Regions from separate parts of the Mus musculus genome. Here regions 1, 3, 4, 5 and 6 are each reported to be linked to region 2. Evidence: microRNA targets listed by miRTarBase, many of them from high-throughput screens and not tested one by one. Region 2 holds a microRNA gene; each other region holds the end of a gene's coding sequence.

Region 1 (4,087 bases), not on the chromosome of region 2:
GGGAGGGAGGGGGAGGGAGGGAGAAAGAGAGAGGGGAGGAGGGAGAGAGAGAGAAAAAGAAAGAAAGAAAGAAAGAAAGAAAGAAAGAAAGAAAGAAAGAAAGAAAGAAAGAAAGAAAGAAAGGAAGGAAGGAAGAAAGAAAGAGAGAGAAAGAAAGAGAAAGAAAGAGAAAAGATACCTTCTATTTCTCCTGCGGTACCCTACTTTCCCTCTGACCGGGCACAGTGTGTGGCTCCTAATAAGGGCTCAGGGCCCATGGCTGTGGCTCACTTAGTGGAGTGTTTGTATCTCAGTTCACAAAGCGCTCTCCTAGCATTCGTAAAGTTCCCAGCACCCCATAAAACAAACCAGCAGTGGATAGGCAGAGGCATATAGATCACAGAGTTTCAGGCAAGCCTGGTCGAAAGAGACACCCTGTCTCAAAAACAAAACAAATGGGAAACTGATCAGTTCAAGATCCTTCTCAGATGCGTAGGGAATTCTGGGCCTGTCTGGGCTATGTGAGTCATCACTCCAAAGAAATGCAGGCTCTCAGTAAACGAGCAGGCAAGTGAGCGGGTGAGGGGCGGGTGAGGGGGCCACAGGCAAGTTGAACTGTTAAAAAATTTTTATTAAAATGTCCAATAAGTCCATTAACATCCACAGTGTCAGATAGCACAGATCCACGGAACATCAAAGCTCCCAGAAAAACAAAAACAAAACAAAACCCAGCAGAACCTGTAGCCATTCTCGCACATACACACTCCTCCCGCATACTGGCCCAAGCAGACACACCAGGGAGGGGGAAAGCTGGAGATGAGGCTCCAGTCCAGAAAAGCCTAAAGCATGCCCCTCCATGGAGCAGGCAGTTCAGGGGCTAGGAAGAACCTCTGAGCCCCAGCAGGCCTCGCCCTCAATCCCCAGCAGGGGATTGGTGTGGTTCCTTCTGAATTAGAAAATGTTACCAAGAAGCTTTGTCCCCAGTCACAGGGACCTTTACGGATCAGGGTCCAGTTTGCTTTTCTCAACCATTTCCCAAGTCTGCTCGTGTGTGTGTGTGTGTGTGTGTGTGTGTGTGTGTGTGTGTGTGTGTGTGTGACAGCAGGTAAGGATTTTAGGTCTCTTCCCTTAAACATAAAGCAAAATTTGGAGCACAAATCAAGACCAGGGTTTGCGAATCGAACTAAGTTGGTAGCGTTCGAAGCACAGATAAGAGTGCTTGGAGCTCAGTTGACAGAGTGCTTGGAGCTCAGTTGACAGAGTACTTGGAGCTCAGGTGTAGAACATTTACTTAGTATGCACAAATCTCTGGGTTCCATCCCTAGCATTGTATACACCAGTCATAGTGCATACCTGCCGTTTTAGTACTTGGGAAACTGAGGCAGAAGGATCAGGACTTTAAGGTTATCCTCAGCTACTGAGTGAATTCAAGGCCAGACTGAGGCCCTGTCCAAAAAATCAACACTTACAGTAATTATAACGCACAGAAGGAAATTCTTGCTCTAGCTCCTCTATCGTAGTCTGTAACTTTGTCTTTCTCTTACAATCAAGTGGAAATGGGAGACTAAGGACCACGTGGGCTGCTGAGAGGATTCAAGGGCATCTCACAAGGCTTTACACGGCTTCTATTCAGTAACTGCCCCAGGCTTTCATTACCTCCTGTGAGCAATGCAGCTCAGTAAACACTTAGGAAGAGCTGGGCATGGACCCCAGAACCTGTGCACCCATCCCTGCCCTGACCCACCCAATCCTACAGTTTTTGAAATTTTTACTTATTTATTTTGTGCTTGTGCAGTGTGTGTGGGGGGAGAGGGTTGTGCGTGTGTTGGAGAATCACCCACATTGTAGTGTGCAGTGGAGGTCAAATGCTACCCTTTAAGGGTTTGCCGTGATCCTCCAGGCTAGCTGGCTCATGAGCTTCCTATAGTCTCAGCACAGGGATGCTGGCACCAGGGTTCACACCCTACCTGGCTTTTCACTTTTAAAACATGGGTCCCAGGGCTTAAACGGACTTCTTCAGGCTTATGCAGCATCTTTACCCACAGGGCTAAGCTCAGGCTCCACTGTGGCTTTAACACAAATTCATAGATTCTACCCACACTGCATGGGCTCTGTGAGGGACCCTGTCCCTGGCTTGGGAAGTCTTTTCTGGAGTGTAGATGGGAAGAGGGAATCCAAAGTGGATTATTTCACATTTTGAAAAATGTAGAACCGGGCGTGGTGGCGCACACCTTTAATCCCAGCTCTTGGGAGGCAGCGGCAGGCAGATTTCTGAGTGCGAGGCTAGCCTGGTCTACAAAGTGAGTTCCAGGACAGCCAGGGCTACACAGAGAAACCCTGTTTCAAAAAAAAAAAAAAAAAAAAAAAAAAGAAAAAAGAAAAGGAAACGGGGAAAAGGAAAAGAAAAAGAAAAATGTAAAACCAGGCGAGAAGGTGTGTTAGTGTGTGTACATGCATGTGTGTGTGTGTATGTGTGTGTGTTAATTCTAAGAGAATTCTTCTTTCTACCATAGGACCATGAACACTGTAAGCATAAAGTCCATCAGGCAGGATGTGGAAACAGAAGTGGGGTGGGGCAGGGATGGAATCTGAGGCAGGAGATTTATTGAGGTCTGCTAAAAAGACAGGCTCTGGGTTAGAAAACATGGCACCATCTTGGTTCAGGCAGAAGGTTGTCTGTCTCCCTGAGAGATGGAGGGGGAGGATACAGCAGCATCCAGCACATTGTACTCCACTGATCTCACTTCTGTGCACACGGGTGTGGGAGATTTTTCATCACAAAGCCACGAAACTGCCACACACGACGGCGTATGCCTGTCACCTTCAGGTGGTTGAGAAAGGATGATTGCTGTGGCCTGAAACCCAGCCTAGGCTCTGGAGATCTTACGTCAATAAAACCAAAGAAGGCTGGGCAGACAGTTCGCTGAGTTCCAGGTTAGCCTGGTCTATATAGCAAGTTCCAGGCCAGCCAGGGCCGCACAGTGAGGCCCTGTCTCAAAACAAAAACAACCCAAAACAGAACCACCAGATCTTAGCACTGCACTAGACCTGGGGAGTCAGCAAGACACTAGCCCTCCCCACCCCCATCGCTCGGAGTAACCTCCCCTAGGAAGCCAAGGAGGCCAGTGGCTCTAAGAGACATCACTAAAATCAGTATATAAGAGTTCCACACTAGATTTAGTGGTCTGAACCAAGACCAAAGACTAGGGCTGGTTAGCAGAGAGAGCCCTGCTCAGTACTAGGTGCCATGTCCAGCACCAAATAAACCAGGTAGGCATGGTGGTGCAGAGGCAGGAGGATTGAGACTTCAAGGACATCTTTCTACAATAGTGAGTTCGAGGCCAGCCTAGTTTGGGGGTTGGAGGTGTTGGAATTGGGAGGGAGGAAGAAGAAAGGGGAAAAAAAAAGAAAACCAGAGGAGTGGAAGTCACCCTTGGGGGATCCCAGGAGATGGCAGGCCATCATGTTTGCTCTGCTGGTCCTCCACTCAGATACAGTGACTTTAGCCAAACCTTCACCATAGATTCAGGATGGTCCACTGTTTCCTAAGCCTGAATCTCTGGTGCGAAAGCCACTCCCCAGCACACACAGACATACTGTTGCCCCTTGTGGATGCAGACTTCAGGACCCCCTTTAATGGCTGGGAAGTGACCTAGAGGCTCAGCCAGACCAGCATGGCCTCTCAGGCTCAGCCACCCCTTCCAGGAGGACCTCAGTAACAGAGGACCTACCGCAGGGGTGTGGGGCTCTGCAGTGTCCCCACCCTCTCTGGTGGATGCTGGGTTCTGGGTCCCCAAGGAAACACTCTGGAGAAGGTGTGGGGGCTTGTGCTTGATTAGCCTGGATCTTTAGCAGAAATCCCCTTCGTCTTTCTCCCAGTCTTCCGCTGGGTGTCTCTTGTGTTTTCTGTGCTCCTTGCGAGGCTTGTGATGTCGGTGTGGATGGTGGTGGTGTCTACGCATCCGATGTGACCGCCTGGCTGCAGGGATGGGAGAGATGAGAAGGGGTGAAGATGGCTGGCTGGATGCCACTGGCCTCCTCAGAGGGATGCAAAGAGAAAAACACTAGGAAGACAGGTGACCTTGGGAAGCAGAGGCAGGAAGCACAA
Region 2 (4,087 bases):
CACAACAAGGGTCCTGAGTCACACTGCGTCTCATCTCTCCACGGGTATCACATTCAGCTCCACTCCCCTACCTGGGTCAGAGTAAGTTTCTCTTCCCTATCTTTACATGGTTTCCCACTACACCTGCTTTGTCTTGGACAGACCCCTCCCATCAGGCTGCACTTCCAAGACCCTCTGTGTTCATGTGTTAACATTTCTTATGTCTTATTGCTGGCCTCACACTGAGTCCTCTCCTCTTGTCATCCTGTGTTAGGGTTAGGCTATTGTCAGCCATGTGTCTTAAAGAGAAAATTCCATAATGGGGCACGCTTTGCCTAGCTCCACCCATATGTCCTGAAGAGCACCATTCCTCTACATGTGTCATGCTTAGCCTAACCCTTCCTACGTTCTGTATGCCCCCTCTCACACCTGTCGTGGTCACCTGAGTTCTACCCATGTGTCCTAGAGAGAGAACACCTCTCCCCACGTGTGTCATGCTTAGCCTAGCCCCACCCGTGTGCCCTGTGCACCCGAGCTTCATCCCACTTACTCCCCATTCACCTTAGGCCCCTCCCTGACTCTGAGCTCCTCCATCGTGAGAGGGCCCCTAAATCATGTGTCCCATAGCCCTCGTTCCTTTTAGTCACCACAAACCCTGCTGGTGCTCCAGATGCGGTACACGGAACTCTTCTCCTCTCGCTCTCTCTTCATGTTGGGAAGCCCCACCTCTGCACGCAGCACGTTGAGACATCCACCCCTTGCCTTGTGACATGGAGCGCTCTGCCTCTACACATACCACACTGTGACGTGCATGTCCTCCAGGTCACAAAGCAACTCATAGGTGTCACATCTAGTCCTTCTCCCCACTTGTGATGAACACTTTCCTTGACAGATGTCACACCGAGCCCCTATTTCCTCTATCAGAGCCCCTCCTCCTTATGTCCCACATGCAGCCCAGTCTCTTTCTCAGGAGTCATAGGCTCTCCTGTACAAGAGTCATACTGAGCCCCTCCTCTTTTTATGTGTCATGTTACCCCTCCTCTGCACATCACATTTACATTTTTTCTCCCCTGTACCATGGATTCTCTCCCCCATGTATAGCCTTGGACCACTCCCCATCCGCTAGATTTAATCCCTTAATCTCTCCATATGTTACTGACACCCCCCTGTGTAGGTAGGCATCATGGGATGTCCCTGTTCTTTTCTTTATGACATGAAGACCCCCTCTTTGCGTGGGATATCATATCCTTCATCTCTCCCTTGTGACATACGTCACCCTGAGACCCTCCTGCTTCCCGTGAGCCATGTCCCTATGCTCCCATACACATACATGTCCCTTTGCAACCCTCTTCTGCCCTGGATGATGTGCAGCTGTGTTCCACATGCTGCCCTGAGCCCCCCTTCTCTCTCTCCCCTGCCCCACTGACATCTGCAGCATCTTACCACAGCATTGAGCTGCCTTAACCCTTTGTCATTCACATGTCGTGTGCAGCTCCCTTCCTCCCTGGCTTAACACCGAGTCCTCCCTTCCCCACCTGTGTTCACCTGTCTTCTGGCCTCCCATCCTTACTACTCCCTCCCACCCCCATACTACCTCTTTATACCCTGCTCTCTGAGACTATGCTGGGACAAGTGTTTGTTGGCAGTTGGTGGGTGTGCCAGACAAGGAAGAGAAGAGCACAAGTCAGGAAAGATTTTTTTTTTTTACTTTATTCATATGTAAGGTGATACACATGTGCCATTCAAGCTGGCCATGGTGACAGAGGCCTGTCAATCATAGCCACACTTGGAAGCCTGAGGCAGGAAGATGGAGAAGTCGGGATCCACTCTGGATTACACAGATCCTGTTTCAAAAACAAACAAACAAACAAAAAAACTAACAGGCAAGCAAAAGCAGTTTGTGGTTTTTAGTTATTCATGGAGGAGTGTAACTCAAGTTGACACTCAAAGAACCTGGGGAGCGGTTGTTAGCTGTACCTGCAGTTTGTCCCCTCACCACACTGAGTAGCTTTTAACCCATGCATCTTTTTGGGGGATCCATCTGGGGCGTCTAAGCTCCTGCTGGTTCCCATGAGTCCCTTCTAGGTCTGCAGAGGAACCCACTGGATACTCGGGATGGACCTTAGCAGGACACTCCTGTGACCACAGTCACCCTTCCTTCCCTCTCCGCTTCCCCACCCCTCCTTCAGTGCTCCCTTGCCCCTCCTCTCTCCCTCCCATCCCTCTGCTCCCTCTCCCCCCTCCTCATCCCCTGGATTGGCTCCAGTCACTCCATGAGAGTTTATAAGAAGTGAGGTTGGGCAAGGAGGGTAGATGCTTCCACTGTGCTGCAGGTGCCCTAGGGCTGGCTGGCCTTTGGTTTCCTTCCTCTAACACTAAGCCCTGGGAGTCTGTCCTACCTGTTGTCTGTGCTTCTTGCCTTGCTTTTTCAGGAGAGGAGGGTCCCAGTGTAGTGAGAAGTTGGGGGGTGGGAACGGCGTCATGCAGGAGTTGATTGCACAGCCATTCAGCTCCTATATGATGCCTTTCTTCACCCCCTTCAACCGCGTGAGGCCTCCGGACCCTCCTCCGCGCACCTTGGGCCGCTTAGGGACGCGTCTTCAGCTCGCTCTTTTCCCCTGGCATGCTTTCTCGCCATTCTCCACAGTTCCTGGAGGGGAATACCCGGGGCTGGGCCATACCTGAGATCATTCCTTGGCGGGGGAGCTATACCCCTGGTGGGACATTCCCTGGGGCTGGGCCAAGGGTCACCCTCTGACTCTGTGGCCAAGGGTAGACAGGTCAGAGGTCGATCCTGGGCCTACTCTGGGGCTCCTCCCACTGGGATTCCAGGAGCCGTTCTCTCCTGGAGGTCCTCTGAGGGGACCCAGCTCCTAGCAGAAAGGGTGGATCCTTGAGAGATGGGGTCTTTGTTACTAGAGCAGGGCACAGGGCTGAGACAGGGCAGGGCTGAGCATTACCAGTGCTCCCAGAACAGGGTCTCCTTGAGGGGCCTCTGCCTCTATCCAGGATTATGTTTTTATGACCAGGAGGCTGAGGTCCCTTACAGGCGGCCTCTTACTCTCTCCTTGAGCCCTTCTGGAGACGTCTCACCTCATTCAGTTCAAACTCTGGATCCCCTAAGGAGTGCAGAAGATCCCTGTTCATCCTCCTCCCAGGCCGGGTGCCCACAGACACTTCAGTAGCACAATGAGCAGCTGGCGTAGAGTCTGAACCCCAATACCTAGGTCATTGCATGCATACAGGGCCCATCTCCATCCCCACAACACCACCATTATTAACTGCATTTACCAGCTATGGCAGCCAGCCCCGGCACACAGGAGCACCCTGAGTGAATAGCCTGGAAGCTGTGAAAGGATTTGAGGGCAGGACAGGGAGGACCCAGGCCACACCCAGTCCCCCTCCCCTTCACCACTGTCTCTCCCTTCCCTGTCCCCCCCTCTGCCCCCAATCTCCTTCTTCCTACTTGTGCTCCTGCACGGTCTTGGTGGCAAGATGGTCATGCGTGTCTCTCAGCTCACACAGGTGGATCAAAGTCCAGATGAGGTTTGCTGCTCAGGTCTCAGATCGTGTCTAACGATGTGGTCCCCTGGGCCCAGCACCAGGGCTTAAGGTGTATGGGACAGTTGAGGGGTGGGTAATATTTTCTTTTCCTTTTCTTACTATGGGGGTAGCCCAAGTTAGCCCAGGTTACCCAGGCATGTGGAGATCTCTGCTCCAGCCTGGTGAGGAGCTGGTAAAACTCTGGACTCAGGGTCCTGTGTGTGTGCTGTCACTGGCTCTGGTACCTGCAGGGACATCTTATAAGGGGAAGCAATGGAGAGGACAGGGAAGGTGGGCAAGGGAGGGCCCCTGCTCCTCTTTGTTCCTGGATGCTGTCAGAGCTCTCTGGTTGGGGACTGAAGCTGGGAAGTGGGGGCAGCTCCTTGGTGGGTGGAGTCTGCAGCCAGGGCCTGGCCTCTGGTTTTCACCTTGACAGGGTTGGAAGTGATGTTATCATCCCCTAGCAGGAACTTTCACACCAATTTCTTTCTTTTCTTTTCTCTTCCCCAGGAGAAAAAAAAAGGTTTGTGTTGTGTTTTTCAATCTCTATAAGTGGCTCCGCCGA
Region 3 (4,087 bases), not on the chromosome of region 2:
AAAGTACCATTCATGAGAATGACTAATTTTAGTGGATTAATTTCCTCTTCAAACTTTGAGCAGTAATTCTAAAACACATTGTATCTTTCTTGAAACATGAAAAAAGACAATTCACAGCCCTCTCTCGTTACAAAGATCAGGTATAATGATATCAAATTATTCTTTTAACAGTAGCTTGGTCTTCATGTAATATCAATTTAAAGTGTTACACTTGCATGGTTAGTATGTATAATCCAACAATAGCTTATTTTTTTGATAGCATATTAACACAAACAAATTTTCTTTTGTTGTGTGTCCATCTCTAAATTGAACAATATATATTTTTTAAAAACAGATGCATATTGAAGCTGCCAAGATGCTGTCTTTCAGCGAGGAGGAGTTTATGAAGGCTCTTGAGTGGGGCAGTTCATGAGTGAGCAACTGCAATGGGATGCTCATTTGATATCAAGTGTAGTCTTCTTGCTGTTCATGAGTAATAAGAACATTTGTGAAATAAAAGAGTTAGATAATGACCTGGTGAAATAAACAGAATGTTTGGGAGGATGTTGGAAGACAAAGCCAGACGGCAACTCTGGCCTGACTTCCTTTTTCATTAGTAGTTATGAAATAAGGAAGCAAGACTTCGACTCTTAATTATCTTTTATGACCTACTAGACCTGGGAGAGGACAGAGAAGATGGCAGGGCAAGATTCTGGAGATCCCCAGCTGCAGCTGCTGAGTCTGCTGCAGGCCTGTGTGCTGTGCACGGCTGCTGCATCCAACAGCAGTGATGCAGGCTGGGACCAGAGGCTGTTGTGCAGGGGCTATGTGTGTGTTCTCTTGTTCAGTGGTTGTGCACACAGGAGACAAAATAGAGATGGAAACAGGGACACACTTACTGTACCAAAGGATCATAAGTATAAGTGATTATGAACAATTTGGATAACACAGAATGTTTAATTTCTGGAGATATACTACCAAGAATTAACTAAGATAGAAAAACCTGGACACACCCATAGTAAGAAGGGAGATCAAGTAGATCAAATCCATAATAAAAAGCTCTATTGGGAGCTGGTGTGATGGCACAGTGGTTACGGAGGGCATTGCTGCTATTGCAGAGGACCCAAATTCAGTTCCCAGCACCCACAGGGCTGCTCACAGCCACCTTTAACTCCAGCTCTAGGGGTTCAAGGCCCTTTTCTGGCCTCCATTGACCTCTGCACAAACGGGATACATAGACATGCACTCAGGGATACACATAAAATAAAAATAAATATTTAAAAAAATAAATCTCCTCAAAGAAAAACACAGGACCTGACGGCTTCACTGCCAGCTTCTACCAAACATTTAAAGATTGGCAGTTCTTCTCAAACTATTCCAAAACAGTGACATAAAGACATTTCCACATTCAAGTATGCTCATCCTGATACCGAAATCATGCAAGAGCAACAAACAAAACCAAGCCAACAACTCCCATAGTCCAGTATCTCTGATCAACTCAGATGCAGAAATGCTCCCCAGAACACCAGCAAACAACTTCTATACATCAAAAGATCCCTCATCACGATGCAGTGGGATTCAACCTAGATGATTTGACATTCAAATCAGTAAGCATGTCACACTGACAGAATGAAGAAAAGGTTTGTAAATTCAGTAGAGAGAAAAGCCCAAGACTGAGCAACACTTCATGACAAAACTGTCAGCAAAGTAGGTTACAGAAGGAATGTGCTGTAACGTGAGTCATATGTGACAAACCCACAGCCAACACACTGAACAGGGAAAAGCTGAAGCTTAGCCCCACGTATTTGTGTATCCAATCCTTTTATATTGTGACATGATATTGTGATCTTCAGAGTTCATACTGAAAGACTATGCAACAGAATTACAAATTAAAAAAATGAATTTTGTATAACATTTTAAGTTTGCTATTTGTAGTGGTCTGCATTAATCACATCCCAGGTTGCCCATCCCTATAAGACCTGAAATCAGACAGTTAAGAGCAATGGCTAGGCAGAGAGCACACGCCTTTAATCCCAGCACTCAGGAGGTAGAAGCAGGAAGATTTCTGTGAGTTCGAGGTTAGCCTGGACAGCCAGGCCCACACAGTGAAACTCTGTTTCCACCCTCTCCAAAACCTCCCCAAAAGAGCACTAGTTGCTCTTGCAGAGAACCCAGGTTTGGTTCCCACCGTGCGTATGGTCCCAGTCATCTGTAACTCCAGTTCCAGAGGCTAGGACACCGTCTTGAGGCATTCTTGAGCTCTGCAGACATCTAGTACACATATATGCAGGCAAGCACATGTAAAATTTTTTTTTTTTTTTTTTGGTTTTTCGAGACAGGGTTTCTCTGTGTAGCCCTGGCTGTCCTGGAACTCGCTCTGTAGACCAGGCTGGCCTCGAACTCAGAAATCCGCCTGCCTCTGCCTCCTGAGTGCGCCACCACGCCCGGCTCGTAAAATATTTTTTTAATCTTAGCAGAAATGCTAATCAAATATAACCAGCAAGAGAAAGAAAAATATGAAGTCTGGGAACAAAGAAGTTGGGTTGTCCATTATGAAAAATGGTTGAGATCAAATCAACTGAGTAAAGTTACAAGGTAAGAAAACCAATAGGCACACATCAGGAGACTGACAGCACAAATGAAAGCCTTGAGCTGTAGCTCAGTGGCAGAGCACTTACAGAACATGTATGAGACCCCAGATCCAGTCCCTAGCATAGCACAAGCCAAAGTAGTGGCATTTTTATACATCAGTGGCAGAATATCAGAGAAAATCTACAGTACCCCATTTGTAGTATCTAACAAAAACATTTTAGACTAAATTTTACCAAGGAGATTGAAGATGGCTGTATTGAAAACTACAAAATATTGATGACAGAAACTTGAGAGAAGTAAATAGCTGTTTAATGTTTATGAATTAGAAAAGTGTCTTACATACTGCCCAGAGAGGTCTGTCGTCTCCCTGTAGTGAGCTGCTGTGTTTGGCCTCTGGTTCTGTGGAATTCTGTGATATGATGGCATCATAGAATGCATAGTAAATAAAAATGACTAATTCTGCAGTTAAAGTACTAATGTGTTTAATTTTTGTCAAACTGTATACATGATGAAATAGGAGGATGTTTTAGAACATGCAGATAGACCAGGGCCTACTGTCACCAACTGTAAAACAGCAGTTACGCTGACATCTAGTGGCAGCATCTGAGCACTCCAGGTCTCGCCCGGCCTTGCTATGAAGACTCGGCTTCAGACTCCATCCCTTTTCTGATAGGCCTTCCTGAACTCTTCACCAAGCATGTCAACATCGTCTTCTCTTTTAAACACTCCCTACAAAGAAGCATTTTGTTGGTTACTTTGAACATTAGAGTATTTCACTGAATTTTCTTAGGACTAACACACACAGACATGAAGCTAATGAAGAAATGCAGATAATGAGATCGATTATTGAAACTTAATTTTAAAATATCAGAAAGACTATGGCTTCAAGTATATCTGAATATCACTGAGCTGCTCCCAGTTCCTGATTACTCAACCTCAGAGTATTAAGCTGTGCTAGGGGCTGCTGTGCCTTATGCTCTAACTCCGGCCGTGACTGCCTACATTACAGGCTACTGTCCGGACGCACTCTTTCTGCCTCAGTCTATCAGCGGCTCATTCTGAGACACTGAATTTTACTCTTAACGGGTCCCGGCTGCCCTCCAGAAGTATTTTCTCCACTCAGATGTTGAAGTCCAAAGGCCCTCTCAGCATATATATAGTCTGTTTTATTAAATATACCAATCATGGGTGAATTTTGGCATCAGGCTATCATGCGTATTTAAATCTACCTAACTAATTAGACTTTAATACACTACGGCTAGCAACTTTTAATAATTTTCCTTTTTCTTTCATTGGTTAGGGACTGAACACACTTGATTCTGCATAGTCAATAAAGACTTCAAGCAATATGACTCATATATTTGAAGGACTGTGGCTTTATGAATCTCCATGTTTATATGGATAAGGAAGCTAATTATTAGCAGTCACAATGTGTCTCAAATACTATACATGAAAATTCATTGCCTATTGGAATAGCTCTCAATAGTTGAGGCTGCCTAGTACCTACTTACAATCA
Region 4 (4,087 bases), not on the chromosome of region 2:
GTTAGGGGGTGGAGGTGGGCCATACCCAGAGGAATTTCCTGCGGGTGGGCTGGGCCTAAGGTCATAATATGAAGGGCAAAAGCCAGGGGTGGGTGTGCTTATCCTAGAGACCATCTCTTCCTACCCCTCACAGTGCGGCCCGTCCCGAGGCTGTCCATCTGCTGGGCAGGAAGACAGCTGGCACAGCAAGGCCCCCTGGCATGACTGTTTGGGGGCGGGAGGGAGGAGGTTAGACTTAGAACTCTAAAAGGCACGTCCCCGAGGCAAAAAGGCTCCTGGATGTGTCCCAGGGAGGGGGCGGGCTTCTCTGGTATCAGAGACCCTCTCCATTTCTGTTTTTATTGTAGTCTAAATTGGCCTTGCAGAAGCAACTCACCAAGACGCTGGCAGCCCGCTTCCTGCCTGGTCCGCTGCCCACCACAGCTGCTGCCATCTGTGCCCTGCCAGGGCCCCTGACCCTCCGGCCTGCTGCAACAGCAGCTGCTACCCTCTTCCCAGCTCCTGTCCTGGGCCCAGCTCTGTTTCGTTCTCCAGCAGGAGCTGTCCGCCCTGCTGCAGGACCCATCCTTTTTGCTCCCTATTAGTGGACTCAGAATGGCCACATCCTATCTCTTCCAGTCAGACACTTGTCTCCACATCCCACAGAGACTGCCTTTTGCAGTTTCCGGGTTCCCACCCAACCTGGGTAGCTGCCCTTCACTCAGACTGGGGTTCTCCAGTCCCCTGGCTCTGAGGACCACCACTACCCTCCTTTCCTGGGCCAGCCCTAGGCTGCCCTGCATCTATGATTTAACAAATCCCAAAGATCTATGCAAAAACCACAGCCCCAGTCTCATGGTGCTCTCATACCCAGACCCCAACTAGAGACGTACACAGAGCTGACAGCATTTTAGCTCCCAAGGGCCAGCCTCTCCTGCCATGTTCTAGAGCGGTCTGGACAATCACTAGAGACAGGGATCTCAAACTGAAGTGGGCTGGAACCTATCAGGCATATTTACCATGGGGTAGCCAGGTATGGTGGTGCATTCCTGCAATCCTAGGGCCTGGATTACGAGTTCAAAGTCAGTTTGAGCCATATAGCTAGACACTGTCTCAAACACCAAAACAACCACAAGTAGACTACAGGGTATGTATGGCAAAGGGCCATAGAGATAAGAGGCCCCAAAGTTCTTAAAAAATGTACTGTGAAAGTGAGGCAGAGTTGAGATGACGCGCCATCTGCTCGTGGGGGTGGGGCTTGAAGGGAAAAGTGGTGTTCAGGCTGGGCCTGACTGTGTCATCCTGGCTGGTCTGGGACTGTATGCTCAGGCTGGCAAACTCAAAAAATCTACCTGCCTCTGCCTCTTAAGTAACGGAACTAAAGGCACACACCACCCTGCCTGGTCTGGCTTTGACACAATAGCCCTGGCTGTCCTGGAACTCACTTTGTAGACCAGGCTGGCCTCGAACTCAGAAATCTGCCTGCCTCTGCCTCCCGAGTGCTGGGACTAAAGGCGTGCACCACCACACCCGGCACTACAGCTCTTCTTATCTTAGCCTTTCAGTGGTTTCTCTTGAACCCCAACTCTAAAGGGGCTCTGGGTCTCCCTCAGCCTAGGGACTCTCCATTCCACACTGGGTCTGGCCATCCCAAGTGTGGCGTTTCGGGCTGGTACATGGTCCAGTAAACCCTCAAGATCAACTTTCATGTCACCAAAGCCAGTGCCATTCCCCCATTCGACATGGGATTTCACCAGGATCCACCTATATCCCCCTTTTTTTGAAAGATATTTCCAATGGGACAAGAAAAGGGGTAGGGGACGGGAAACTTTTTGATAATAGCAGTTGTGGTTTTATTGTGTCCAACACATCAATAAATGAACTTCAAGCCTGAGCCTGTAGGTGCCCAGACTCTCCTTGCCCAGGCCTGGGCACCAGCCCCCCCTCGCCTGTTCTAGGAGGAGGAGAGGGTATTGGAGGTGGCCTGGCCATAGTGTTTAACCCGTGTGAGGTGTGCACATCAGAAGCACGGAGTGGGCACCGCAGGTTGTGGGTGATAAGCTCACTTGATAGCACAAGCCTCTGATGGAAGGCTTGTCAGCTCCTGGGAAGCTGCTACTGGGCTGCCTGGTTCTCTTCAGGCATCTGAGGTAAGAAAGAAGGGCTGGGGGCGCGGCTTATCCCACCTTCACCAGAGCAGCAGGTGCATAAATACAGAGAGAGTATAAATATAAAGTCCAGCTACTAGCCAAAACCAACCAGGAGGGATGGACACTACCCTGTTGGGCAGGTTAATAGACAGCCGCTCGCTCGCAGCACTGAGCAGAGTGCACCCCTGCCCCCTGGTGGTTAAGAGAGGCCGTCCAGCCTCCAGGGCCGGTAGGTGTAGCACCTTAAAGAGGGTGGAGCAGGGGCAGAAGACACACAGGAGGCCCAAGCCACCAGCTTTAGAAAAGTCACAGCGCTACCCGTGGCTCTAGGTGACATCCAAGCTTCTGTCAACTCACATACGAGAAGACTGACGCTCAGGGGAGAAGAGTCTTGCTAAGTCTCAGGGCATGTGACAGCCCAGTCATCACTCCACTCTACCTCAGCCAATAAGACCTCTGCTCCTGGAACAGGAAGAGGAAGTGAAACAACTGGGAGATGGGTAGAGGTCAAACAGGAAATGCCACTCCCAGGAGCCTGACTTTACCAGGCCTTGAACAGGCCAGAGGAAAGGTCAGGGTGGAGGATGAGGAACCAACCCTAAGCCAGCTCGCACAAATGTATGCTTACAGTACCTAGTCTTTTGTTTTAAGGCTGGTACTGTGTGTATGTTAGTGGCAGGAAATTCAGAGTTGGGATCCCTGATAGGAGGCAGATCCTGGACTGGGCGCGTTGGCATGACGGCCCTGCTTCCTGCACCAGGCAGATGGAAGGGACACTAACCCATAAGTGTCTAGGTGACAGTGGAGAAAATATGGTCAGCTGGGGGAGGGGTGGGAACTATTATGGAAGGTCAAGGGAGGGCCAACAATCAAGTTCACTTGCACTTCTTGGAGTTAAGAGAGGACAAAGGTGGCACTGGCCTGGGCCAGCCCAGCTTCCTGTCCTAGAGGGTCACTCCCCTACCGACTGGGAAGAACAGCTTGCTTATGCACCCTGTGCTCGCCACCCATCCCGGAATGGGCTTGGAATGGTGAAGCAAGAAGGGCAGCTATTCAGCCATCCAAGGAGCCGCTGCCCTTGTTCTTGCGGCTGAGGGGGAAGGCAGACTTGCTCTGCGGCTGGGTCATCTTGCTGGCCAGGTAGATGAAAGGCTCTAGGAGGGAGCGTCGGTCAGCCACCGACACCTCCCATAGCTTCACCTTCTCGGACTTGGCCCAGTGCTGGGCCACGTCAGGGTCTACGCGACGCTGCTCCTGCAGGTCACACTTGTTGCCAAGGACCACGATGGTGACCTGGAGAGGACAGATGAGAACAGGGACTGTCGGCATGCAGTGGCTCAGGACCAGGTGTAGCCATCAGCTGTTTCTGGCCAACAGCTGGGGAGGATGCAGTTCCCAGAGGACTTCTGGAGGACTAGCAAGAACACAGAGCCCCAGAGAAGGAAAACTAGACCGCGCTTCATGTGCTAGGAGGGAACCTAGTAAACCAAGAAGAAGACTCAGCGATTGAGCTCTCCTATCATGTGGCCCACTACCTCTTGTGTGGGTTGAAGACCCTCTCCAATGATCTTCCCGGCCTTCTAGCTCCTAAACTACCTCTTGGCAAATGCGCACAACTGGGAATCATGCCAGCACCCTGTCTCAGTCAGGGTTTCTATTCCTGCACAAAACATCATGACCAAGAAGCAAGTTGGGGAGGAAAGGGTTGATTCAGCTTGCATTTTCCACATTGCTGTTCATCATCAAAGGAAGTCAGGACTGAAACTCAAGCAGGGCAGGAAGCAGGAGCTGATGCAGAGGCCATGGAGGGATGTTCTTTACTGGCTTGCTTCTCAGCTTGCTTTCTTATAGAACCCAAGACTACTAGCCCAGGGATGGCACCACCCACAAGGGGCCCTCCACTCTTGATCACTAATTGAGAAAATGCCCCACAGCAGGATCTTATGGAGGCATTTCCT
Region 5 (4,081 bases), not on the chromosome of region 2:
AGTAAGTCTGTCACTTGTTTTTGTACAGATTGTAATATAGCTTGTAACCAGTGATGTGATGATTCTGCCAAATGATACAAAGTGATATCACCTTTAAACCGTTCCATTTTATTTCTGAGGTTACTATACTAACATGTAAAATTTAACTACTCTAAGCCAGAGAAGTAAGTCAGTCTTTGTTTTCTTAGGGCTCCTGTGACAAGTGGACATGCAGTGACTGCACCTTTGTTTCTGAGGTGAGAACTGCAAATGCTTAACCGGGAACCTACTCCAGAATACATGATGATCTCACACAACTTGAACTCTCTCACTGATTACTTGATGATAGTAAAAGATCTGATGTTCTGTGTTTTAACAGTTACCATTTAAGTTAAAATTGTAGAAAAGTGTTTAACAGCTACCTTCTGTTGGTTGTTGCAGGTGCCTGGATGGAGGCTCAAATAGAAGATGGTGTCAGATATATTGTGTTAAAATTTTACCATTAAAGTGTATTATAACATGAACTGTGAAGTGTGCATTTTGTTCTGATGAGCACATTGTGGGGAGTTCACATTAGACATTTTTAAATCTATTAGCTGCCCAGTGACTGGATGGTATTGGTGTCAGTATAGTTTGTCTTTTTGTGCTTATAAGCACAAGCCATTATTTTTTTTTAAGATTTTTTTATTTATTATATGTAAGTACACTGTAGCTGTCTTCAGACACTCCAGAAGAGGGCATCAGATCTTGTTACAAATGGTTGTGAGCCACCATGTGGTTGCTGGGATTTGAACTCTGGACCTTCGGAAGAGCAGTTAGTACATCTCTCCAGCCCTAGAACACTTTTCTTATATCTTATAAAACTAAATATTTCATGGAGTATGCAAAGGGGAGTACAGTCACAAATCAGTTTGCCTGGAAATAGTTTTTTTTTCTCTTTCCTTTCTCAACACAATCTAAGATGAACCAAAAGAGAAGTGTGCTCTTACACACTGAGCCATCTCACCAGCCTCAAGCCATTATTCTGTTTGACATTTTAAATTAATAGGAACAGCGTTAACCAGAACTGGACTGACTGGTGGAGGTGGTATTTTCACTTTTGGCAGGTGACAGTGTCTGCTGAGTCTTACATCCTGAATGTCTAATCAGTTATGCAGTCTGAGTGGGTATACCAGCCCTTTAAAGGTCTGGAGATGGCCTGTAGGGGCACAGGTGTGAGGGAAAATTTGAAGTATAAACCTGGAAGGTAAAAGCCTAGACCTTGCAGTCCTGTTAAAGTGTTGTCCCCATGCCTAGGACTTTTGCAGTTATATATACCACCAGGCCTAACTCAGCATTCCTAAATTAGGAGGAACACTGAGGCTAATTGGCTCTTAGGTTTGATACTGTTCACTCTGGTCTGTTGGGCTCAGTTCTTGAGACCACGGAAACTACAATCCTTAATCTAACAAGTACAGTTTGGGATTCGTGCTGGGTGTGGTGGCCCCAAAGGAAAAGTTGAGGCTATTTTGTTTAGTCCTTTGGCTGTAGATAGTATAGGTAACTGGTCAGGGGTCCTTAGAACACTGGTTCCAGGCAAAATGTGTAGGTATTTGGAGCTGTACCTCTACAAGCTTTAGTCCCTGGGAATGGGGGCAGTGTTTCAATGCTCAACAGTTACCCTGGAACACATAGCTAAACATCTCATTTGGTGATTTATATTCTACACATAGTCTTACTGAAATGGATTTAAATTCCATCACATTCTTGGGTTGTGAGGATTTAAATTTTTCACATGCTAGTCACATACCTTTACTGTTAGTGGTCCATTTGTATGGTAATGCATGTGAAGAGGTCAGGATGACCTACACAAGTCTTCCTTTCACAATGTGGAATCCAGCTATCCAGTCATCTTGCCTGGCTGGTCTCTTGGAGGCAGGTTGCCTTGATGGGATTTCCATGTAGATCAGGCTGGTCTCAAACTTGGATCTGCCTAGGATCAAAGGTCTGTGCTTACTAGGACCAGCTGGGAGTTACTGGTCTGTTTTAAGACACCCATGGTTCCTTCTTCCAGAACACAAGGTCAGGGTTTCATTCACTGGATCTCTACAGTCACGCCCTTAGCTCAGATCTACCAGCCTCTGATCAAGTAGGGAGTCATCTGCCTCCTTCCACTTCAGCACCCTTAGCACTGCCTCATTAGGCCTTTAGATTGTGTATGATACTGGTGATTGAACCACTGAGCTGTGTACAACTGTCCTTCCAGGTCTCAGCTGCTTTGCCATCCTCCGAGGAATCGCCTAGTCCTGCAGTGAGTTTGTGTGTAGGGGATAGGGGGCAGAGAAGCCTTAGGGTGTTAAGGGGAGTGGTTTCCCCTTTCAGAGAAGGAATAGATGTTAGGGGTGGGAGGGGGTGCTGATAAACTCATTTGAATGTTTACTACTAGAGTGACATTTTTTAGAAAGGATTAGGTTTGTGACTGGAGGCTTTAAAACTGTCAAGAACCCATGCCTTTAGTCCCAGCACCAGGGAGGCAGAAGCAGCAGATCCCCAGAAGTTTGAGGCCAGCTTGGTCTACAGGAAAGAGTTCAGGACATGCAGGGCTACACAGAGAAACTGATTTTTGAAAGCCTTTAAGTAAGCAAGTTTCAGGGCTACAGAGAGTAATCCTGTCTTGAAAAACCATAAACAAGAACCACAGGCAGTGGTGGCACATGCTAATCCCAGCACTTAGGAGGCAGAGGCAGGCGGATTTGAGTTCAAGGCCAGTCTGGTCTACAGAGTGAGTTCCAGGACAGTCAGGGCTACACAGAAAAACCCTGTCTCGAAAACAGGCAAACAAAAAAAAACCATAAAAAAGAGCCCATGCCAGGAAAACTGTCTTGAAAAGCCATAAGAAAGCAAATAATTCTGTGCCAGGCCCAGTCTTCCAGCAACAGCAGGTCAGGATGTAGAACTCTCAGCTACTTCTATATCATGTCTGTGTTTGCCACCATGCTTACAGCTAAAACTATAAACCAGCACCAACTAAATGCTTTATAAAGAGTTGCTTTGGTTGTGGTGTCTCCTCACAGCAATAGAACAGTGGTTAGGACAGCTGCATTTCAGTCCTGTTTTACAGTATTTCAAATCACATATCTGCCACAAATGTAACCTCATGATTCTGGCAACAAGAGATCTGTGAGACAGCCAGGACAAGTGTCATTCACATTATATAAGCAGCTGGGGCAGCTAAGAGACATTTGTAGCTTGCTTAAGGTACAACACAATAGAATTCTGTTACTTGTAATTTTTTTTTTTGATCCTACTATACTACTTAGAACATTATATTGATGGCTGAAAGATTACCACAAAGTTTAATTTATGGTTCTAATGAGGCTAGATGAACTGAAACCTTGCTGCATTAACTGGCCAGTGTACAGAGGCAACCATGTTGTATTATCCTTATTCTAAATAACTTATCTGGGTATAGAAACATGCTTGGAAAACAGGAAGACTCTAAATACTCAATAAAGAGATTTTTTTGTTTGTTTGTTTCATTTGACAATTTTCCAATTAAAAAACTTCCACAGACAGTCCTAATGGTACACATGACCAAGTCACAATTGTGTAGCTTCTCTTTCTTACTCGGTAATGATTGCTTCTACACAGACATTTGGTTCTAAAGTCTGTGGCAGGTCTGGATCTTAATTTAAGTTTGGTGAAGCAGAGAAGACAAAAGTTAAGAGCTCAAGTGTTTGGAAGGTGTGGCGGATGCACTCTCCTCTTCTGAGTCTGCTGGCCACAAGACGTGGATATGGTAAGGCTTCAGCTCTTCTGGAGACACGGAGTCTGGAGCATTGCTCATAAGGTCCTGTCCTCGGTAGGATTTAGGGAAGGCTATGACATCTCTGATGCTGGGTGCTCCCGTGACAAGACATACCAGTCTGTCTAACCCTGTGATGTAAAATACAAAGTGAACATGATGAGAAATGTATAGCTTTTAGCTCTGAAAATAACTTTTTTGGGGGTGCGGAGGGTGTCAAGACAGGGTTTAGTCCTGGGTTGTCATGGAACTCACTCTGTAGACCAGGCTAGCCTTGAATGCAGAGATCCACTTGCCTCTGCCTCCTGAATCCTGGGA
Region 6 (4,076 bases), not on the chromosome of region 2:
TTGCCAAACGCATGAAATTCAAGAAGAACGAAGACCAAAGTGTGGACACTTTACCCTTTCTTAGAAATGGGAACAAAACACCCATAGAAGGAGTTACAGAGACAAAATTTGGAGCTGTGACGAAAGGATGGACCATCTAGTGACTGCCATATGCAGGGATCCATCCCATAATCAGCTTCCAAATGCTGACACCATTGCATACACTAGCAAGATTTTGCTGAAAGGACCCAGTTATAGCTCTCTCTTGTGAGACTATGCCGGGGCCTAGCAAACACAGAAGTGGATGCTCATAGTCAGCTATTGGATGGGTCACATGGTCCCTAATGGAGGAGCTAGAGAAATTACCCAAGGAGCTAAAGGGAACTGCAACCCTATAGGTGGAACAACAATATGAACTAACCAGTACCCGGGAGCTCTTGTCTCTAGCTGCATATGTATCAAAAGATGGCCTAGTCGGCCATCACTGCAAAGAGAGGCCCATTGGACTTGCAAACTTTATATGCCCCAGTACAGGGGAACGCCAGGGCCAAAAAGGGGGAGTGGGTGGGTAGGGGATTGGGGGGGGTGGGTATGGGGGACCTTTGGGATAGCATTGAAAATGTAAATGAGGAAAATACCTAATTAAAAAAAAACTGAAAAAGAAAAAAAAAGAATTGGAGAAAGTTTTAGCTAAAGGGGGAAAGGCTTATGGTACTAGTCAAACAAGAAATGCTAAGTTACTGTGCTAAGTCGCCTGTACTACTTATGGAAAGGAGGTACGTGGAGTGTTCAGGGGGAAAGATCGGTGTATCTGATGGCTGCTCGGCAGTCAAGAAGAAAGCAGGAAGAAAGCTGGTCCACATAAAACTCATTGGGGTTTAACTGGCACTTATCAAATTAGGTCCTTCCCATCCCAGAGGCTGGCAGACAGGGAGCCTTATCTCCAGGTGTGGGGAAACAGACAAGCAATCCATTCTTACAGCACTTCAGTTTTCTCAGAGGACTTTCATGGAGACTACTTAACACCAGATACCATTCTTTCTTCCCATGCAGCTTCTGTATTTTATGCCATGTGCATAAATCGAGGAGGTGTGAATGCAGATATCCATACTAGGAAAGGACTGAGGAAAGAGAGAAGCATGGATGAGCAGGAGAGACACAGAATACACATGATATAGAAGATGGAGAGATGGAGCAGTGGATAGAAGCACTTGCTGCTCTTGCAGAGGGCCAGCGTGTGGTTGTAGAGAACAGTTTGACTCCCAATATCCACACCAGGCAGATTACAGCCACCTGTAACTTCGGTTCCAAGGGGATCCACCACCACTGGCCTTCACGGGCACCTACTCTCACAGACACACACCCACACTCTGATACACCCAAGTACACATAGTTAAATGAATTTCAAAAAACAAAACAGTGTGACATGAAAGGAGAAATGGTTTTATGAAGAAGGGGACCCAGAGGAGAACAGGAAGGACCAGAGGGGAAGATGATGGAGTGGCCTAAAAGGGAAGGCCCAGTGGAAAGAAAGAATACATGAAATTGTCACGATGAAGACACACTCCTTTTATGCTAATTAAAAAAAAAGAACACAATGAATAAACTAGATAAGTAATAAGTTTATTCCAGTTTTTGCAATGCAAGGCTGCAAAATAGCTCAGAGGAGCCCTGCCACAGCTTGATCAAGGAGAGAATCTTTCATTACCTGGGAATCTCACGTCCACAGCTATAAAGTAGGATGCTACTTACCTTGTAGGTCTACTGTAACTTTAAATTAGCCACCACATGCTCAACACACTACCCAAGATACAGAGAGAAAACATTTACCCTGGGATGGTGACCACATGTGAGCTGAATTTGATCCCAGGCTCTCAGATTCTGGAGCTGATACTATGTGTAAACCACTCTTCTGCTGTCCCAGAAGTGGACTACGGGCTGGAGGGGTGGCTCAGTGAGTTAAGAGTGCTTGCACCTGAAGCATGAAAACCTGTGTTCAAATCGCCAGCGCCCACATAAAAAGCCAGCCATGGCCACACATGCTCAGGGGACTCTCGTGTTGTGAGGTCAGAGACAGGAGTATCATTTGTACTTGCTCAAGGCCACCAGGTTTAGTGAAGAAATAAGGTGAAGGGTGACAGGATAGCTGACATCTTCCTGGAGCTTCTGCATACGTGTGCACATATACCACATTCATACAAACATACTCACATACATATACATATGTGTACACGCACATCCATGCACACATACATACGTGTGCACATATACCACAATCATACAAATATACTCACATACATATACATATATGCACACGCACATCCATGCATACATACATACAAAATAAAATAGTAAAATTGTCCTATATTAAGACCATTTTTCAAAGAAATTATCCACGCTATAAACACAAACATTATCATAGAATTTTTTGTTTTAAAGCCGCAGCAGTACCAGGCATAGTGATCAACACCTTTAATAGAGGTGATCTGCTCCCAGGAGGCAAAGGCAAGTGGATCTTTGAGTTCAAAGACCAGCCTGGTCTACAAAATGAGTTCTACGTCGTACAAGGCTCTATAATGAGAACCTGAACCAAAAAAATATTTTTTTTATTTTTATTTTTAAAATATAAAAAAAAACAAAACCATAGCAGTGCCAAGGAAATAGCTCGGTGGCTCAGGGCGCTTGCTCTCAAGCATGAGCACCTGGTTTAAGTCTCCAGCATCCATGTAAGGAACCCAGCACAGCTGCATACGCCTGCGACTCCACCACTAAAGGGTAGGAAGAGGTGGACCGCAAGAGCTTGATGGCCAGACAGCCTAGCCAAAACAGCAAGCTTCAGGTTCAGTGAGGGACCCTACCTCACCCCAAACCCTGCTCTGGCCTCCTCACTCACACAGCTGGGAATTCACACCTGCATTTGCACACACACAATACACACAAAGTAAGAAACAAAACTTTTAGGCCTTGTTAGTTGGTTCAGCATACATACTACTCATACATACATACATACATACATACATACATACATACATACGTACATACATACATACTGTTCATGAAGATCTAAGTTCATTTCCCAACACCAGCAACTCTCAACTGCCTCTAATTCCAGATAAACTATTTTGTATAAAACCCAAAAAAGCAGTGCCACTCCAACAGCCTTTACAGATCTTAATACCAAGAATCCCTATAACTGGAGACAATAAAGAGACAGAACTATAGGGTAAATTCTTTTCCAAACAAATTTAATTTTGTTCTAGCCCTAAGGACGAGAAAGAACATTTTTTTTTTAAGACAATCGGAACTTAAACATAAAAATTAAAAAAAAAAAAAAAAAAACACTGCTCAAAAATGAAGCCATTAGAAAGTTGAGCCCCCTCAACAATAAATAGTAAACTGATATGTACATACATATTGGACTCAGGAAGGAGGCGAGAACAGGGATCTCGTGGACTGTCAAAACCTCTCAGGACTTTAGGTCCTGAGTCTCTCATGACATGGTCCCAACAGTTCTATGAGTTCTTTGCTCTTTAAGTCGGCACCTTTGAAGAGGCAGGAAGAATAAACAAGGGTCCCAATGGCTCTGAAGAGGGCTGGAATACAGCAGGGAAAAGGAAAGAGACTCAACTATGTTCCAGGGCAGGGGAAGAGAAGTCCCCATTTCCAACTCGCAGGGTGAGCTTAGCTATGAGACTTCATTGCCTCTACAAGGTCATTCACACTGCGGCCTTGAAGCTACTGTGGCAGAGGCTTGACTGCTGGAGTTCTGTGGCTTTCCATTCACCACCAGCAGAAGAGGCGTTTCCACACGCACGCTGGAGAAGGAATAGTCCTAGAAAAGAAGACAGGGAGATCAGTTCATTCCAGATCTAGGTCAGACAAAAACTCCGGCAAATGAACCTATTCTGCCTACCTCCCTGAACAAAGGAGAGTTTCTGAGACAGATGGGACACCACCAATACAGTTACAAGACTAAGACTGTTCCCTCATTCAAGAAGGCAAATTCTTTGCTTTCTGAGAAAAGGGTGCCACCGGCTCTCAGAGAATCTGCCCTCCTCCAGGGGTTTTAGAAACAGCAGCCAGCCAGATCCACAGGA

The links. Region 2 holds the annotated microRNA mmu-miR-665-3p (ACCAGGAGGCUGAGGUCCCU, at 3,004-3,023, shown strand). A microRNA usually pairs through its seed, bases 2 to 8, with sites in the 3' UTR of a target mRNA and lowers its output. Matches are read on the target gene's strand: a 7mer-m8 pairs with bases 2 to 8, a 7mer-A1 pairs with bases 2 to 7 and ends in A, and an 8mer does both.
Region 1: the mRNA of Ncan is a reported target of mmu-miR-665-3p. Seed matches in the 3' UTR shown: 8mer at 3,680-3,687, 7mer-m8 at 3,423-3,429 and 7mer-A1 at 2,286-2,292.
Region 3: the mRNA of Tex9 is a reported target of mmu-miR-665-3p. Seed matches in the 3' UTR shown: 7mer-A1 at 2,343-2,349.
Region 4: miRTarBase lists Zfp385c as a target of mmu-miR-665-3p. Seed matches in the 3' UTR shown: 7mer-A1 at 1,412-1,418.
Region 5: the mRNA of Dars2 is a reported target of mmu-miR-665-3p. Seed matches in the 3' UTR shown: 7mer-A1 at 2,747-2,753.
Region 6: the mRNA of Ttc5 is a reported target of mmu-miR-665-3p. The part of its 3' UTR that is shown has no 7-base or 8-base seed match.

Annotation. Positions count from the first base shown.
Region 1 is chr8:70,092,493-70,096,579 of GRCm38, forward strand. It overlaps Ncan (neurocan), which reads right to left. Exons shown (of 15, transcript NM_007789.3): 15 at 593-3,958. The coding sequence ends at 3,828. Among named protein-coding and RNA genes, the nearest start is that of Mir7066, 8.0 kb to the right of the region's middle.
Region 2 is chr12:109,583,365-109,587,451 of GRCm38, forward strand. Mir665 (microRNA 665) reads left to right here and starts at 2,950; the gene lies at 2,950-3,043. It overlaps Mir337 (microRNA 337), which reads left to right and starts at 2,425; the gene lies at 2,425-2,521. Mir3544 (microRNA 3544) reads right to left here and starts at 2,509; the gene lies at 2,449-2,509. Mir540 (microRNA 540) reads left to right here and starts at 2,716; the gene lies at 2,716-2,782. It also overlaps a transcript of Rtl1 not described here.
Region 3 is chr9:72,457,526-72,461,612 of GRCm38, reverse strand. It overlaps Tex9 (testis expressed gene 9), which reads left to right. Exons shown (of 12, transcript NM_009359.4): 12 at 335-3,558. The coding sequence ends at 412. It overlaps Mns1 (meiosis-specific nuclear structural protein 1), which reads right to left. Exons shown (of 10, transcript NM_008613.3): 10 at 3,037-3,300. The coding sequence ends at 3,220. Among named protein-coding and RNA genes, the nearest start is that of Mns1, 21 kb to the right of the region's middle.
Region 4 is chr11:100,625,329-100,629,415 of GRCm38, reverse strand. Zfp385c (zinc finger protein 385C) reads left to right here. Exons shown (of 9, transcript NM_001373887.1): 9 at 348-1,873. The coding sequence ends at 584. It overlaps Nkiras2 (NFKB inhibitor interacting Ras-like protein 2), which reads right to left. Exons shown (of 4, transcript NM_028024.2): 4 at 1,814-3,422. The coding sequence ends at 3,183. Among named protein-coding and RNA genes, the nearest start is that of Nkiras2, 4.4 kb to the right of the region's middle.
Region 5 is chr1:161,038,037-161,042,117 of GRCm38, forward strand. Dars2 (aspartyl-tRNA synthetase 2 (mitochondrial)) reads right to left here. Exons shown (of 17, transcript NM_172644.4): 17 at 2,565-3,894. The coding sequence ends at 3,680. It overlaps Gas5 (growth arrest specific 5), which reads left to right. Exons shown (of 11, transcript NR_166052.1): 9 at 1; 10 at 189-236; 11 at 421-503. Snord47 (small nucleolar RNA, C/D box 47) reads left to right here and starts at 56; the gene lies at 56-120. LOC115487640 (a small nucleolar RNA gene) reads left to right here and starts at 272; the gene lies at 272-347.
Region 6 is chr14:50,762,212-50,766,287 of GRCm38, forward strand. It overlaps Ttc5 (tetratricopeptide repeat domain 5), which reads right to left. Exons shown (of 10, transcript NM_001080949.2): 10 at 3,198-3,811. The coding sequence ends at 3,692. Among named protein-coding and RNA genes, the nearest start is that of Olfr749, 20 kb to the left of the region's middle.